Kluyveromyces lactis: one gene and its partners. The protein of the gene in region 3 purifies or fractionates together with the protein of the main gene of each other region. This does not show direct contact. Links are inferred from orthologs where the notes say so. Each region holds a gene or a part of one and is shown on either strand. Other genes may lie near its edges.

Region 1 (5,425 bases), on a different chromosome or scaffold from region 3:
TAGGATATGTCACCAACGATGGTTCAGAATCGGTATCGATAATACCAATTGTTGGGACTCTTGCCTTCATTGCCTCTTTCAAAGCGTTTCTATTTTCAGTAGGGTTCAAAACAACTAATAAATCTGGTTTAATAATGCTCATAGATTCGTTAAGAGTCAATTCTCTACCGGTTGGGTTACCGAAATAATCCACTTCGTGTCTTTCCCAACTACTTGAAATTTCAGTAGGATTGGTCAAAGTACCTGGTACCCACTTAGATGCCACATAATAACCGTTTACTCTTTCAGCTGCCTTAATTAAAGTTCTCTTTTGACCCTCTCTGGTCCCAAGGAAAAGAATCAAACCACCATTTTCAGCAACACCTTCTACGACCTGTGCAGCTCTCTTCAAATGCGAAAGTGTTTGATTCAAATCAATGATATGAATGCCCTTGTATTCACCGTAAATATATGGTTGTGTAGAAGCTCTCCATAGAGCAGTGGATTGGCCCAAATGTACACCAGCGGCCATTAGCTTTTCAATGGATACTTGCTGTAAAGATGGCGGGTTGAAAACGTCCTTGTGTGGGAAATACACGTCTTGTATATTAGCACCTAATTTGGATGTATGAGCGGCATGTTTTAATTGACGTACATATAATTCTTGTTCCGAATAAGGCTTTTCTTTACTGGTGTGCGACAAATATGGGAACTCTCTAGTATGTAATGGTTGGGACAAAACTTTTGAACTAAAGTCGAACTTGTTGGTATCCTCTGGTAGATCTAAAACTTTGTTATATTTCGAGTACTTCCTCAAAAATGCAGTCAATTTCTCATCCAATTGTTGTTCTTTCTCAGTCAATGGCGACTTCAACTTGGTTTCCAGATCTCCTAACTCTTCTATTGGTGTGTTCATTGCCTGATGTAAAAGCTGAGATATACTCCCGTTAAATTCCGATTGACGAGCCGCTGCTACATCCACAGATTGTAATTCTTCACCATTCTCGCCTTTTATAGCATTGGACTCATCGCTGGAACTAGCCTTTGATGAAGAACTTTGCAGTCTCACTGCACCTGATCTTAAGGCAAATGGCGCCCTCCCCACCAAATTTTTGGTGCAGTATCTAACAGACATTCCGGACAAATGATACAGTTCTCACTATAAGGTGAAGGTAACACTCAAAATGTCGACTAAATCACTTCCTTTACCTTTTACCTTCTTCAAATCATCGTAATTTAATATACCAAACGCTACGATAACCAACTGTCCAATTCACCAATTCAATAAAATTTTCCAGATCATTGTATACGAGTTGATACTTTGATATATTCTCAGTAATTAAATATCACGTGTTTTATGTGGTCTAAGTATCAACATTTCAAACCGTCAAGGCTATTACGCATCTGAAACAATTAATGTACCGGCTTACAAGCGTGAAATTAATTTATTAGGATAAGGTATTTCCTAGTAGGATAGCATTGGTTAAGATTATTTTTCATCCTTATAAACCGATGGAAGATGTACTGCGTGATGTATTGGACCGTAACAAGAAAGTTCTAGTTATAGCAGTTGGCGTTAAGGCTCGAAGTTTCTTCGAGCAAGATCTACGGGAAAACAAGACGCATTTCTTTAACAGTATTGATGATATAGTCAGGGGACGATCCAACGTGCGGATTCTGTTCCTTGATAAATTACAGTATTTATATATGTACTTGACATATGTCGAGATTGAGCTCCAGAATAAAGGAAACACATCGATGTGCTATGAAGAAATTATCATCTACGGTTTAGAGTCCCTGTTAATGACGAAAGAACAATTGGAATCAGAAGAGACACAGAAAACTCTTGATCTGTCAATCTCCCAGCTGCGACATTGTAACCTCATCCTTCATGGATCGCTTCGACTGGAAAATCAGTACGCTGTGCGTATCAGAATGGTGTCAGCGACAGATCTGGGAATGATGTCTCAAGGTTGGAAGAATCTGACCGAATATTGGCAGTACGTGTATTCGATAAAGGATTCCTAGAGAAGAGATTAATGTACAAAGGAGAAATATATAGGTTATGATTATATATATATATTTATAGTTTATCACTGCAATGCTTTCTTATTTTTGGATTTATTTCGAATCCATGTTGATATTGATCTGTTCCACACTAGAAGTTTCGTTATCGTAGTATGCGGCAACCTTCACCCTGAATTCAGCAGCTGCTATACCAAATTGTTTCAAGATCAATGCTTGAGTAACATCTAGAGTTTTGCCCTTTTCACAGACCAAGTATGGAGATTCGATGGTAATCTTACCATTCTTAATTTTGGTTGGAATCTTGAACTTGTTTCTTAGAGTTGGTTCCAGAGAATGTATCATAGGCACATCTTCTTCTTCTGGGATTTGACCACCACGAGAGTATACAATACCGGCTGGAATGGTAAAAGACAATGGAGCCTTTGATTTTGGTCTGGAGAAATCAGCTCTCACATATGCCTTGAAGTAATCTTCCACTACATCGACAGGTTCGTTGGTAAATAATAGACCAGTAACACCAGAACAGTGCTTACATAGTTTGGCCAAGTTCTCCTTGTACTCTTCCTCTGGCTTTTCACCTAACGCTTTCACCAACACCTTCCTCTTACCCATGATTAACTTGGATCCAACCCAAGAACTTCTAATCTCTTGCAAAACTGGAGTTCTCACATCTTCCAAATGTAAAACCCAAGCGTATCTGAAAGAATCCAAGGCTTCTCTAACTTCATCGAATATCCTTTCCTTGTTCTCTCTACCCTTCTTATCGGTTTGGGCCAATGTAACCAACTTTGAACGCTTAGATCTTGGCATCGTATCTGGGTTGGTATATGTAGTAGCTTGATGATAAAGAGTAACGAAAAGTAAACAATTATCAGAACACTATTCAATTACAGAAGAGAGATAAATAAAGAGGAATACAACTGATAGAATATAGCGATTAGTACTGTTGATCAGTTTAAACTATGAAAGGTCCATCGAGTAGATGCGATGAGATGAGCTTTCTCAAACTGAAAAATTTGCGCCTTTCTTTTTCTTTCTAGTTGTGAGTCACGTGATTTGATTTTTCCAAACGGAAAGTAACGACCTCTGACACAAAGTGAATCGGTAAGACATATACCGGCTCTTTTGCAATGCTCTAGGGCCATTCTCATAAGCTCGGTTAGAGAGGTTTATTCTAAGGAACTGCAAAACCAAACTCCGGTATGAATTCCCTTGACTGATTTCTGAGTCTCTCACTCATTGCCAATGAGACAATAGATCTCAATTCAACACAAATATCAAGACTAGAAAGGCACAGATAGGGCATGATCGTGTATCGGGCAAGTAGATATAGTGGTAATGATTTAACCTATTACCGGAGATGTATTGTAAATGGGGAAGTAAACTTAGTCACGTGACTCATTACTTGTGGCGACGGGTATTGTGTATATTTTCCTCAGATAAAACCGCAGTGTACCGGACCAAAATGTACCTTAAAAGTTCAGAGTCAGGAAATTGCAATCTCAGTACATATTTAGCAGGAAACAAACTAGTTGGTTTGATATGAACAGCCGGCGAGTTAAACATACCTCTTGTATTGCTTGCCAAAGTCTAACAACCTCTAAGATACCAATTATTAAGGTGGTAAGAGATACCGGGTTGTGAACTAGAAATTTTAGATAGTAATTTTGCCTCTTATTTGTGATTTGAAACAGGAAAGGGTTTTGAAAAGATGAGTTATTACGATGGCGATGGCGACTATATCATATATGAAGATGCGAACGGTAGCCATGAAAGTGATGATGTTGAATCTGGCGAATATTCTTATCCAGAGGATGAAGATGATTTAGAGTTTGTCCATCACGATGATGATGATGATGAAGACGAAGACGGGGAAGAAGATGGATCGCAAGGAGAGCAGTTGGACGAAGATCAAGATGAAGATCAAGACGATGAGGAAGTAGAAGGTGAGATAGGGAATGTTTATCATGAAAGCCGTTCTGGGGACCGTGCGGACAGGATTTCGTTTCTACAAGATATTGTTTCTCGTCTAGCGGATCAAAGATCTGGTGAAAGTGGGGATGGTGATGTTGCTGAAGGCGAGGAAGCTGATTCGGAGCGTGCATTTGGACGTTCATTGCCAGATCTGTTGCAAGAACTAGGAAGGTCTGAAGGGTTTTTCGGTGTTAGCAGAGGAAATTCTCGGTATTTGAAATTGATTGAGAATGTGCTTCAAGCTGAAGACGATCCGTATATTGCTATGGAATCTCTCCGGGAATTATCTGAACAGCTATTGATGTTAAACCCTTTGATCGCTGATCGAATCATCCCATCTGGCAAGTTAATGGACGCTTTGATCCATGTATTGTCTAGCCCATTATTACAAGCAGAGTTGGAGTTACAATTAATTGCTTGTAGGTGTCTCTATAACTACTATGAGATGAACCCAGAAATGATAGAGGTTTCGGTTAATAGAGATATTATTGAGATATTGAGAGGGAAATTGAATGAGATAAGCTATATCGATTTGGCAGAACAAGTTTTGGAGTGTTTAGAGTTCATTTCAAGGGTACATGGATCTAAGATTTTAAGAAGCGGTACCCTTCTCTCTTGTTTGCAATATTTGGATTTCTTTACCGTCCATGCGCAGAAAAAATCATTATCTATCGTTGCGAACTCATGTGCTAGGGCTAAGGAAAGTGACTTCGAGGTGGTATCAGAGATTTTCCCCATCTTGAAATCTATCTTCCTAAATAGTACAAATCCAGTAATTTTGAAGCCAGTTCTCATAACACTTTACAGCATTTCAGGATCTTTGAACAAGAAATCATTATCTAAACTCTTTGACTTCGAGTTGGTTAAAAGGTTATTGTCGTTGTTATCTTCTTCAGAGATTGAACGTGAATCTGTTTTGAAAGTCTTGGATATTTCATCACTCTTGGTCTCCACCAATGTTGAATTGTCAAAACAAATCCTATTGGATTGTGAGTTGAACAAAGTTATTCAAAACGTTTTCCAGTCTTATAAGAAATCAGCATCTTCCACCTTCAGTGAAACTTTGATTTATGTTCCTAAAGAGCTTTTGTTGTCGGTAACAACTTTCCTCTTACTTTTGCTCCCAACTGAAGATTCTCAAATCTTGACAGCCGATGAGGTCAAAGTTTTCACATTTGACGGAAATGAGGATAAATTCCTTGAACTAGTCAATGAGTTGATTCCTTGTTTGGTGGAAATATATTCCAATACAGTGGATACTAAGATTAGATATACAGTTCTTGTTGCATTGGCTAGGGTGTTCACGTCTATACCTCATGGCTACGATATTCCTAGTTCGTCCGTTATTAACATAATATCCTCTGGTCTCATCAATGGTTCAAATGCGCAACAAGATCATATGAAGACTGAGACCAGTGCAGTACTAGTAGCACTGCTTTCGTTA
Region 2 (5,072 bases), on a different chromosome or scaffold from region 3:
ACCTCCTGTAATCTTTGAAACCTACCCATCTTTATGCACAAGCTCTGAAATTGATTTCGTCGGTATTAATTCCCATGCCTATTTCGATCCAAACTCCCAAGCATCTACTGCTGGATCCTTCGTTAAGAATCAACTGCAAATTGTGAAAGATGTTTGCGGAACAGACAATGTTAGAGTGACAGAAACTGGTTACCCAAGTAAGGGTGTCCAAAATGGTGGTAATATTCCAAGTAAAGCTAACCAAATAATAGCTGTTAATGGTATCTTAGAGGAGTTGAACGGAGATGTCACAATTTTATCTACGTTCAATGACTACTGGAAGGACCCTGGTACTTACGGTGTCGAACAATCTTTCGGTGTTATTGATTTCCTATCATGAAACATACCATCCTAGCATAACATTAACGTAACGAAACCGCCAACAGCGGAAAATAATAGAGTAAGGAAATGATTAGGATCTGAAGTATAAACAAAAAAATCACGCACGGAAGACTCATTACTCTTTTGACCGAAAATAGCTTCCTTCACAACACGAACTTTCCTAGTTGGTTTTATCGTCCATCATTAATCTCCTATAAACAATCGTAATATTTCTATACCTGAATGCTGATTATAAAGCAGAATTTGTAACACATAATATAGCACATTAAATGTTCTCCGTTTTTTATCTAGGTAAGTTATCTTGTCTCGAGTCCGTTATTAGAATTCAACCAGTTTTTGAGGAAAGAACTCATCGATCAATTCAAGGTAATACGGTTTTAATTCATCGCGGTTATGTTTTTGTAATCCCTTGGAATAGAGATCATATTGATTAAAATCCTGTACAGCTTCCAAGATTTCATAATCGCTTTCTGACATCAAATATCGATATGCGCCTTCTCGATGCCATGGATAGAAGGAATGATATCTAATCATAGCCAAAGCCTTCTCATTCAGAGTTGATTGATTCTTTGCGATATAATACATATATTCATCATGCCCCCACGAAATCATCACCGATTTTAGGCCACTGTTTTCTTCATATATTCCTAGTTTAGTTGAATATATTGGATGCGAATTATCGGGATTACCTTGAAAGAACTCAGGAAAGATGTTTTCCTTCACGAAACCACAACCAATGGGGAAAGTGTCTCCGACAACATCCCACTGCCCTTCACTCTCAAAGAAGTATAGGATCTTACCTAAATCATGTATTAACCCAACGAGCTGCATCCATCTAGGTTTACCGTCATTTCTTATCGCTTCAGCCGTTTGTAATGCGTGATCTATTTGGGAGAGTTCTGTGTCTGGGTCCGATTCATCTATGAGTTTACTTAATTGGCATAAAGCATCCCAAACAGTCATTCTGGCTCGCACTTTAGTCTTGAAATTAATTCTTGCCTGTAAATTGTACGCCATCGTCTGTTTCTCATGCTGTTCTTTGTAGAATTCTCGCACTCTATCTTTAGCCTGGTTATATTGCCTGAAATCTTCCTCATTTATTCCATCTAGGACACTAGTCGAATCGTTCATTTTCCTCTTTTTAGACGGTACGGGGTCCTTGGATTGCTCTCGAAGCTTGGTTTTAATTACGTTGATTGACTGAACATCCTCATCTATAAGCTCCAGTAAATGGCCTTTATCCGAATGGATAATCTCTCCCAAATCCTTTGACATTGTTTCAATTATTTCAACGGCACTGAGCAAAAGATCCCTTTTAACAGAGCACTAATAAATTCACCGTTCGAAATATCAGAGCGTACCGAGACGTATCTCATACACTATAAACTTAATCCTGTTCTATCGTTAAGTTGACACTCACATCCATCATTAGAAAATCATTGAGAAATATCCATAACAGTAATTTTAGTGCAAGGTGAGCGAAAGAAAACTGGTTCTTGTAATTAATTTGGCTGCTTTAGCTCAGTTGGGAGAGCGTATGACTGAAGTTCATAAGGTCCTGTGTTCGATCCACAGAAGCAGCAAATTGGTTTTAATTTTTGTCAATTTCCCACATACTTTTTCATCGTCAGTATATACAATTGCGGAGGACGGAACAAGCCTAAATCGTTAATGCAGATATGTCTTTATTCTATTATACAGTATTTATGACTTTATGTCTCAACGCTCTTTCAAAGCCTTATTTCTCTTTTCTCTTCTTCTTAGTCTATCGACCTTCTTAGCGTGCATCTTGGCAGCCAATCTATCGTACCTTTCTTGTTCTTCCTTCTTTGCTCTTCTTTCCTTCAAAGCTTGAATAACAGCGTCTTTCTCGGCTTTCTTCTCCTCCTTCAAAGCACGTACCTTTTCCTTGAACTGCTGATCTTCTAGTCTCTTTTGTTTCTTCAATTCCCATGAGGTCAACTTCTTATTCTTCACGACTCTGTTCTTAGCCCTCAAAGGTTCTTTCTCTACCTTCCAGGTGCGGCCACTAACGGGCTTACCCTTGATCTGTATATCCTGCTGTTCTGCTGTATTGTCTGACATGATAATTCGTACACTTTCGCGATTACTACAGTAATGGTTACTCCAGTCACGACCACTTTGTTACAACCTTTGTATGTGTTTCTCTCATCTCATCTCATCTCATCTCATTGTCTCTCTAATTTTTCACTATCACATAATAATGAAAAAGAAATCTTTAACATTAAAGATTGAAAAATTTCTAGTTAGAAATGAGATGAGATGAGATGAACTTACCATGAAAGTATTAGTTCAAAAGTTCAATCGGTGTTATCTGTCGCTAGATCATCGATTAATTGAATTATAGTGTAAGGAACATATAAAAGGTGCTCTTTTGATCTTTTGGAAACCACTGTAAGAGGGAATGCTTTCACTTGGAAAGAATGGTAAGACTTCGTCAACACTGGTACGAAATGCGCGAAGGAGTGTGATCATGCCAGCTAGCAGAGATGTTAGATCTCGTAAGAGACGGGCGAGATCTGTCACTGATACGAAAGATGTGTTAGATTTGGATTCAATCGATTTCACTAATGAGAAGGAAGTTCAGTTCAAGGTTAATCAGTTGAAAGAGTTCACCAGAAATCTTCGAGAACAGATCAAGTACACTGATGAGCTAAAGCGTAAGCATGTTATAGAAGAGGAGGAGACAAAATCGGTAGATCCCGAGATGCATGATTTTGACAGCGATGCTGGAGTTATTTTAAGTTCATTGAACGATAAGGTAGCGGGCCCTGGGGCAGAACAGAATCTTTCAACTCTTTTGTTATCAGATAAAGCTGATACATCGTTACTACCCGAGCGATTATCAGAGAGGATAAAGGACAAGGACCTCATTTTGAGGTGTTTGTTTGATAAGAGGAATAGGGATTTTAATCCGATAGTAACAGAACTATACCATTCAGAACAGAGACTAAAGGGTTTAGGAATCCAATTTATTTATTCCAAGATTCTTTCGAAATTCGATAAACTTTCCTTTACGAGCTTATCCCAATTGGATGAGATGATAATGGAAAGCGTTGGGAATGACTCCTCGCGGTTAAATGGTAACTTATACGAGCATCTCATGTTGTCTTTTTCTCGGGTTACATCACCATCAGCACAGGGCAAATTGGAAGTATGTGGTAAACTTCGAGAGTTAACAGAGAGAATGGATGCTACATTATCGAAGAAAAGTTTCCAGCCAACACAGTATATGCTAAATGCTTGTATATTTGCAGCTTCAAAAGCCATGAGCTGGGAGTATATGGACTTTTTTTTAAAGAAATTCACCTCGACGTATGATATGCAACCTAACAGAAAGAACTATACGACAGTCATTTCTTTCTATACCAAGATGGAACACTATAAGAAAGCTTGGCAACTCTTTGACTCTCTTAAATTTTTGTCCCTAGAACACAAACCAGATACTAAGGTCTACAACTTGATGCTCGAAGTGTGTCAAAAGGAGAAGAATTACGCAAGATCATTAGATATTTTCCAAGAAATGGACGATTTGAACGTCACAAAGGACCTAAAGACTTATCTTAACGCAGCTAAATCCTTAGCATTGTCAAGTGCTGACAACGTAACAAGTGAAGGTAAAGCAGATTCATTAAGGTTAATGAGTTGGAAGTACATCCATAAGATTCATGATGATCCTAAATTATCCAAACAGCTAACCGAAAATCCACGCAACAACATGCTGCTGCTAGAGACAATGATGGTTTTATCAGCTTATGATGGTGACGTCGGATTTGCTCGTGCGTTGTACTATAAATATACGAACGCATTGTTCAAAGCACACTTCTATGAATTCAAAAAGTATCACAAAGATACCGATCCAGTTGATTATATTCGCATTTGGAAGAAATCTCTTTCCGCACAAATGTTTAACTGGCTAATGTTATCGTACTCTAAATTCAAAAAGTCTCGACTACCAGTATTATTAGGATATCCAGAAGGTTCAAGCTTGAGACGTAGCATGATTTATTCAGTTGACTATTCGGGACGAGATTCCTCCTATGAGAATTCAAATATTCAATTACCTATGCTTCCTATGACTGAGCTTAATGATGCAGAATTAACTATAAATGAATCAAAAGCCTTATGGAGATTTAATTTAGAGTTTGGCGGAAATTATGACATTAGAGAATTACCAGAAGGTATGCAGACAGTGAAAGATATAGAGAATATTGTCAAATGTGCAAAAACTGTTAATGAATTCAAGCTGCAGATTTCGCAGCGTTTATTGGAATGGAAAAACAGATATGTCAATCACAAGATTCTCAATATGAAATCTTTGATAACTTTCCTCACGATACCTATTAGGCTTCATGAACCCAATGAGTTCAAATTGAGGTTACAGGAATTCACATTCCAAGCGTTCGAATTCAACGAAAGGGTGGAATATCAATTCAAAAAATCAAAAACGAACGAACTGGAATCACCTGTACTCTCAAAAGATTTTAACACAACCGACAGCAATGCCTTGGTTGATAACGGTATTATACCCTCAGAATTCCTTCTATACTTGGTTTCTATGAAACACAAACTAGCCACTAATTGTGCTATCTACGAAGTGTCGATGAAAGCAGCCATAGCGTTCCATGATTACGAACTTGCTATGACAACATGGAAGAACAGAGGTAAAT
Region 3 (5,794 bases):
AGACCCGTTATGAGACGGAGCTCTCAATGGAGACATGTGACGTGCTGACGGTGAATTCCTAGAAGAATGCTTCTTTGAATCAGTAAATGAATCCGTAGATTTCTTCCATGATTTTAGCAACGATCCAACAATATTAGGTGATGATGAAGTATTCGAATTAGACCTTTGAAACATCTCCCTAGGAGATTGATCTATCCTACTACTAGACGAAGAACGGATAGCCATTGGCAAGCAAAACAATGGGAAAAAAAAACAGATAGAAAAGAAAATATAAAGACTCTACCCTATTACACTTGGAAAAAATGCCCTCTATTTCTTCTTTAAACTATGATCAGGGCCTAAGACACCTTGTTATACTTATCTAGTGAATGATCTCCCTAAAATACACCAACAAATGTATGAAATGTCACCCAATTTTTTACCAGAAAATTTATACGATATGCCTTGATTAATGACAATACTAGACATCCATATAACCTAACTGTGTCATACAAGTAAACCCTATGTAGCGCTCCAATTTCCTTTCCATTTCCTTTTGACTTTCCTCTTCCTTAGCTTTGCATGCTTCGAATCCAATATATCCTATAAACGGTGATTCCATCGAAATTCCAAAACATCCATTACCCGGATATAAAATAGATAACGTGACTATCACATGCCCTGATTTTAAATCACGTGATTGAAATTCCTTTTTTTTATATTGTTCCAATCATTTTTTTTTTGACTCTGATTGACAGTTACTATAGGGCGCTCATTCGAGCCATTGGAATATCAATTATTATTATCACTTAATTATGATAGAATGAGATGAGATGAGTAGATTTAGATGAAAGATAGATATACCATATATACATATATATATAAAAACGTATATTTGAATCTGTATTAGATCGGTTCTGGTTTAAGAGTGTACAAATACTGAATCAATCACTACATATCAGGATATTTCATTCGAGAACCGACATTATTTATTTTTGTCAACTCATATTTTAAGGTACAAACAGACAAACCACATCTACCCCCTCTCACCCGCCGCAAAGCAGTTAAAATTACCATGTCTACAGAAAAGCCAGGCCGTACCATATTAGCGTCTTCTATTTCTAAAACTTACGTTCAAGAAATTACTGGAAAGGTGGAAAGTCTCAGGAATATTAGACCAGATGGTCCGTTATTAGTTGGGTTTTTGGCCAATAATGATCCAGCTGCAGAGATGTACGCTTCCTGGACTCAAAAGACTTGCGAGTCTATGGGGTTCCGTTACGAGTTGAGAAGAATTGAAGATAGAGACTTCTTGGAAGAAGCTATCATCGATGCTAACCAAGATGATTCCGTTGATGGTATCATGATCTATTTCCCTGTGTTCGGAAACGCACAAGATCAGTATTTGCAACAAGTGGTATCAAGGGAAAAAGATGTAGAAGGGTTGAATCACGTTTATTATCAGAATATGTACCATAACATTAGATATTTGGATGATCAGAAACAGTTGAAATCGATACTACCATGCACTCCATTAGCTGTAGTGAAAATCTTGGAGTATTTGAAAGTTTATAACAATTTGTTACCAGAAGGGAACAGACTCTATGGGAAGAAATGTGTTGTAGTGAATAGATCTGAAATTGTTGGTAGACCTCTAGCTGCTCTGTTAGCAAATGATGGTGCTGATGTGTTTTCTGTTGATATCAACAACATTCAGAAGTTCACACGTGGGCAAGGTTTGAAGTTTACGAAACATCATGTAGAAGACTTGGGTGCATATTCAGAGGAGCTATTGAAGGAATGCTGTAAAGATGCTGACGTGATAATAACAGGTGTTCCTGGTGAAAAATACAAGTTCCCTACTGATTACATTAAAGAAGGCGCTATCTGTATCAATTTTTCCTCAGAGAAGAATTTCGATGAGTCTGTGAAATCAAAAGCATCGCTATACGTTCCAAGCACCGGTAAAGTAACCATCTCCATGCTGTTGAGAAACATGCTCAGATTAGTAGAGAACAAACAAAAATTGCAAAACCGTTCAGCCTCCACGAATTAAGGCAGTGGATCGATCAAAAAAAAAAAAAGAATTATACTCTATTTCACCTTTATCTCATATATATGCGAATGTGTATGTATATGATTAGATATGTATATGAATTATATTATACAGTCAGTTTTTATTGTCAATGGAATTTATTTCTTTTGCTTCTTAGCAGGTGGAGCATCGATATCTGTTGCCGTTACGAATTCTTCACCGTAAGTGTCATCGACATTTTCTTGATCAAGATCGCCTTCAACTTCTTCTAGGTACTCTTCCATATCCGAATCCACTTGATCGTATTTAGCCTTCAAACCCTTCATCTTTCTAGTTTGCAATTGACCCAAATCTTGCTTACCCACATGCACTCTACCGATCTTATCACCCATAGTATCGATCTCAACGTTCTTAGCAACTCTGACTTCCAATTGTCTAGGTTTCTTATGGGCTTCCTTGACCATTTCTGGAGATGGAGTGTGAATTCTTCCGATCTTGAAATCGAATCTTGGACCAATCTCTTCCAATTCCACTCTAGGTAACTTCTTACCACCTTGTTCGGACTTGTAAGTCTTCAAGTGATACACTCTGAATAGAACATTTGGTAATGGTTCACCGTCTTGGAAATCACCTTGGACAGTGATAGAAATGATATGTTGCAAACCTGCAACATCTTGCAAAGTGGTATTCTGACCTCTGAAAAAGTCAAGGAACAATGATTTGATATGCTGGTAAACTGGATGTTGTTCAAAGGCTGCACCTTGGAAACTGAACATTGGCTTTAACCCAACGTTAAAAGTTTGTTTTCTGAAATCAGACAAAAGTTTATAGTTTTCTGCAATCTGCAACTCGATAATATCATAGATCTTATACCCAAACGTACGAATAAAAGTCAAATTGTTTCTTCTCTTCTTAGAATGTGTGCTCAACACCATAAGCGATGTATCATTCTTTTCAGATAAAAACTCTAATGGTTCATAATCTTCAAAAGGTCTGATGTTGTTCTTCTTGGAGAATCTCTTGATATCAGGCTTCTTCAACGCACTCAAATCAACCATTGAATCATGCAACAACTTGGTAGAAGTTTGACCAGGAATGAATAAAGCTTGCTTTACATTCTCAACCAATTTTGCTTCTTTTTTATCCAAAGCCCTTTTAGCACGGGCATTCTTAGGCTTTACTGTTCTGATCATCCTGGTGTTTACGGTGTCTTGATACAAATCACAACAATTACACCTTATAGGATAGAAATCTGAGCCAAAAGATGAACTATGTAGACTGTAACTTAGCTCATCGCATTTAGCTCATCGCATCGATTTGTTCCAGTTTAAAGATTTAATTTTCCAAGTTACTTGATAAGTGAAAAGAAACTATTCCAAAGTCACGTGGCGGAAAATGTTTCACGTGACATCACTTATGACGATTTCTTTGGCGACAATGAAAACAGAAACATTGACCAAGATTTTAAACAATGAGCATCAGAGAGTCTATTTACCTTTATAATTACAGCAATGCAAGGTCAAGCTAGGTTCGGCTAACAAGGTAGTGGATCAATTGAGATTAGAATTTCAAAGTTTTACATTTGGTGATTCTTTTGGCTTTTTTTTTCAGTGTCAAGATAGTACAAGATGAAGCAATTGTTTCAGCTCAGGAAAGAGCTTAGTGTACCAGCAGCAGCACCAGAGGATTCAGTAATCTCTGCTGAGGAAACGACAACTGGTTCTGCTGTCACCAATGTACAATTTTCGAATGAACAAGTTATCACAGAGAATGGGAAGTATAAGGTATCGAAGTTAGCGCCAAGTTTAAGTTTTTTGCCCAGTAATGTGGAATTATGTTGTAGCGTTGATGCAAAATCTGGGTACGCCTTATGCTGCGATACTGATAATGTTTACGTTTGGCCATTTTTATCTTCTGAAACACACCCTAGTTTTGTAAGGATTCCATTACATGACGAGGAATATGAATCATGGTCCCGTCCTCCATTATGTTGCTTTACGTGGCCTAGTGTGCTCGAACGTGACTTGAAATCAAGCCCTGGCTTATTTTTAGTGAACAGTAGATCCGGTGACATTCAATTCTATGAAGATGTTGATACTGTGAGTCAAGTGGCAAGTTTCTTGACGCAAACCAAACGTCATAAATCAGTTTTAAAACTACGTGACGGTGAATATGTAGAGAATTTGATTAATGCAGAACCAGCTGGAATATTACTTTCGACAAATTACGGGCGTGTTGAGTTTTGTACTATAAGAGATGCTAACGGGAAACCTTTTGTATCGCTAAAACAAACCATAATAAAATGTCAAGTCGGAATCTTTTCATCCATGTCCAAATCAAAGAGAGTGGTATCTCTCAAATTGGGCGAAATCAGCGGTAAAGGAGAAAGAATAGTTTCTATTTTAACCCAGGGCGGGCGATATCAGGTGTGGAACCTTTCATCTGTTGGGAATTGTTACAAAAAGATCGATTTAAATGTACAGTCTGAAATTTCACAGGCAGTCTTAGAGCATTTCCCCTTGGCAACATCTACACTGAAACTACTCGATTGTCATCCTTTATCAGGAGACTCGGATGCATACTTGTTCTTGAGTTTCTTAGCGGAAAGTAACGAAACGCACTATTTACTATCAACCATCATTGTGGATGAAGATACTAACAGTTTCGCTATCTTCTCTACTTACAGATTAAACACATACACGCGACCATTATCAGATGAATTTGCCCCAAGACTTATAGTCCCAACTGCATACACCAAGGAACATTTACCGATAACGTCTGTTTACACTTTATTCTCTGATGCTGCTGTCCTAACTCAAACAAGTTCCAAATTGGACTCTAATTATCCATTTAAAAGGAAATGGGAGGACATTATACGGTTTAACAAAGATATGAAAGTTCTTGGGTACGATTGTAATTCAAGTTCCTTATACATTACTGATGGAAGAACATGTGCGTTAAAGTTGGAGACTTTTGAAAAATACGAAAACTCTGACTTCCAAGAAATTAGATTCATAAAGTCTCATGTGGATCAATACGTCTATTTTGGAGGACAATCAACGGATTCATTACTAGACTTCAACTTACCTGACAATCTAGATCTACAACCACAAGAAATTGAAACAGATATTCAAATGTCCAGTGATGAGATTAAATATGCATTATCAAACCACATACCGCCTGTTGCTAACAACCCCATGAAACACTTAAAAATAAGAAGCGAACTTTTTGAAAGACTTCTCACATTTGTTGCTCATAATTTTTTGGATCAAACATCTTCCCAATTCAAACTGGACTTGATTTCTGATTTTGAAATGATAAAATGTTTGGAAAGCTTGTACTCTTTACTACCGCAACAACCAACATCTATTTCACAAGCTTGGAAGACAGTACTATCAGAAAGTTCCTATCAATCGGATTCTGATTTTATCTCAGACGGCATTGTTAAGATTCCAGAATTATTGGGCGCCTTTTTGAAGCATTTGAAAGACCTAATGAAATCCACAAATGAAACTATGTTAAAATCTCAGATCGCAAAGCTTATAAATCAACTAGTTTATCATTCCATATTAGAAGAATGTGAAAACAGCTACAGGTATGGACTTTTCCAGATGAGCCCAGATGATGTATCAAAAAATATCCCTTGGTTCACAACAAATAGCATAATAGAAAATCTTAATGACATCTTCTTCTTGTTAAGGCATGCCTCTGAAGATCTTGCCGTTGTGTCAGAATTTGTAGAGGAATTACTGCTATTGGTTAAGTCTCTATTTTATATGG

The links.
Region 1: the proteins of RPF2 (region 3) and MRT4 purify together in Saccharomyces cerevisiae (affinity purification with mass spectrometry; 3 studies listed by BioGRID, with this or other methods). This does not show direct contact. The link is inferred for Kluyveromyces lactis from reciprocal best matches to the Saccharomyces cerevisiae genes RPF2 and MRT4.
Region 2: the proteins of RPF2 (region 3) and CGR1 purify together in Saccharomyces cerevisiae (affinity purification with mass spectrometry; 4 studies listed by BioGRID). This does not show direct contact. The link is inferred for Kluyveromyces lactis from reciprocal best matches to the Saccharomyces cerevisiae genes RPF2 and CGR1.

The regions. Positions count from the first base shown.
Region 1 is NC_006038.1:1,182,709-1,188,133, forward strand, and holds MRT4 (mRNA turnover protein MRT4), read right to left. Parts: upstream 2,818-5,425; coding exon 2,101-2,817; downstream 1-2,100. Other genes in the region: MRP4 (mitochondrial 37S ribosomal protein uS2m), read right to left, coding at 1-1,114; SHU1 (Shu1p), read left to right, coding at 1,492-2,007; putative ubiquitin-protein ligase UFD4, read left to right, coding at 3,719-5,425. UniProt on the Saccharomyces cerevisiae protein: Component of the ribosome assembly machinery. Nuclear paralog of the ribosomal protein P0, it binds pre-60S subunits at an early stage of assembly in the nucleolus, and is replaced by P0 in cytoplasmic pre-60S subunits and mature 80S ribosomes.
Region 2 is NC_006041.1:948,529-953,600, forward strand, and holds CGR1 (Cgr1p), read right to left. Parts: upstream 2,467-5,072; coding exon 2,101-2,466; downstream 1-2,100. Other genes in the region: SCW11 (putative glucan endo-1,3-beta-D-glucosidase), read left to right, coding at 1-379; KLLA0_E10737g (inositol oxygenase), read right to left, coding at 700-1,656; CCM1 (Ccm1p), read left to right, coding at 2,807-5,072. UniProt on the Saccharomyces cerevisiae protein: Involved in nucleolar integrity and required for processing of the pre-rRNA for the 60S ribosome subunit.
Region 3 is NC_006037.1:703,702-709,495, reverse strand, and holds RPF2 (rRNA-binding ribosome biosynthesis protein RPF2), read right to left. Parts: upstream 3,208-5,794; coding exon 2,173-3,207; downstream 1-2,172. Other genes in the region: GTPase-activating protein GYP1, read right to left, coding at 1-225; MTD1 (methylenetetrahydrofolate dehydrogenase (NAD(+))), read left to right, coding at 1,055-2,035; NUP133 (Nup133p), read left to right, coding at 3,643-5,794. UniProt on the Saccharomyces cerevisiae protein: Required for biogenesis of the 60S ribosomal subunit.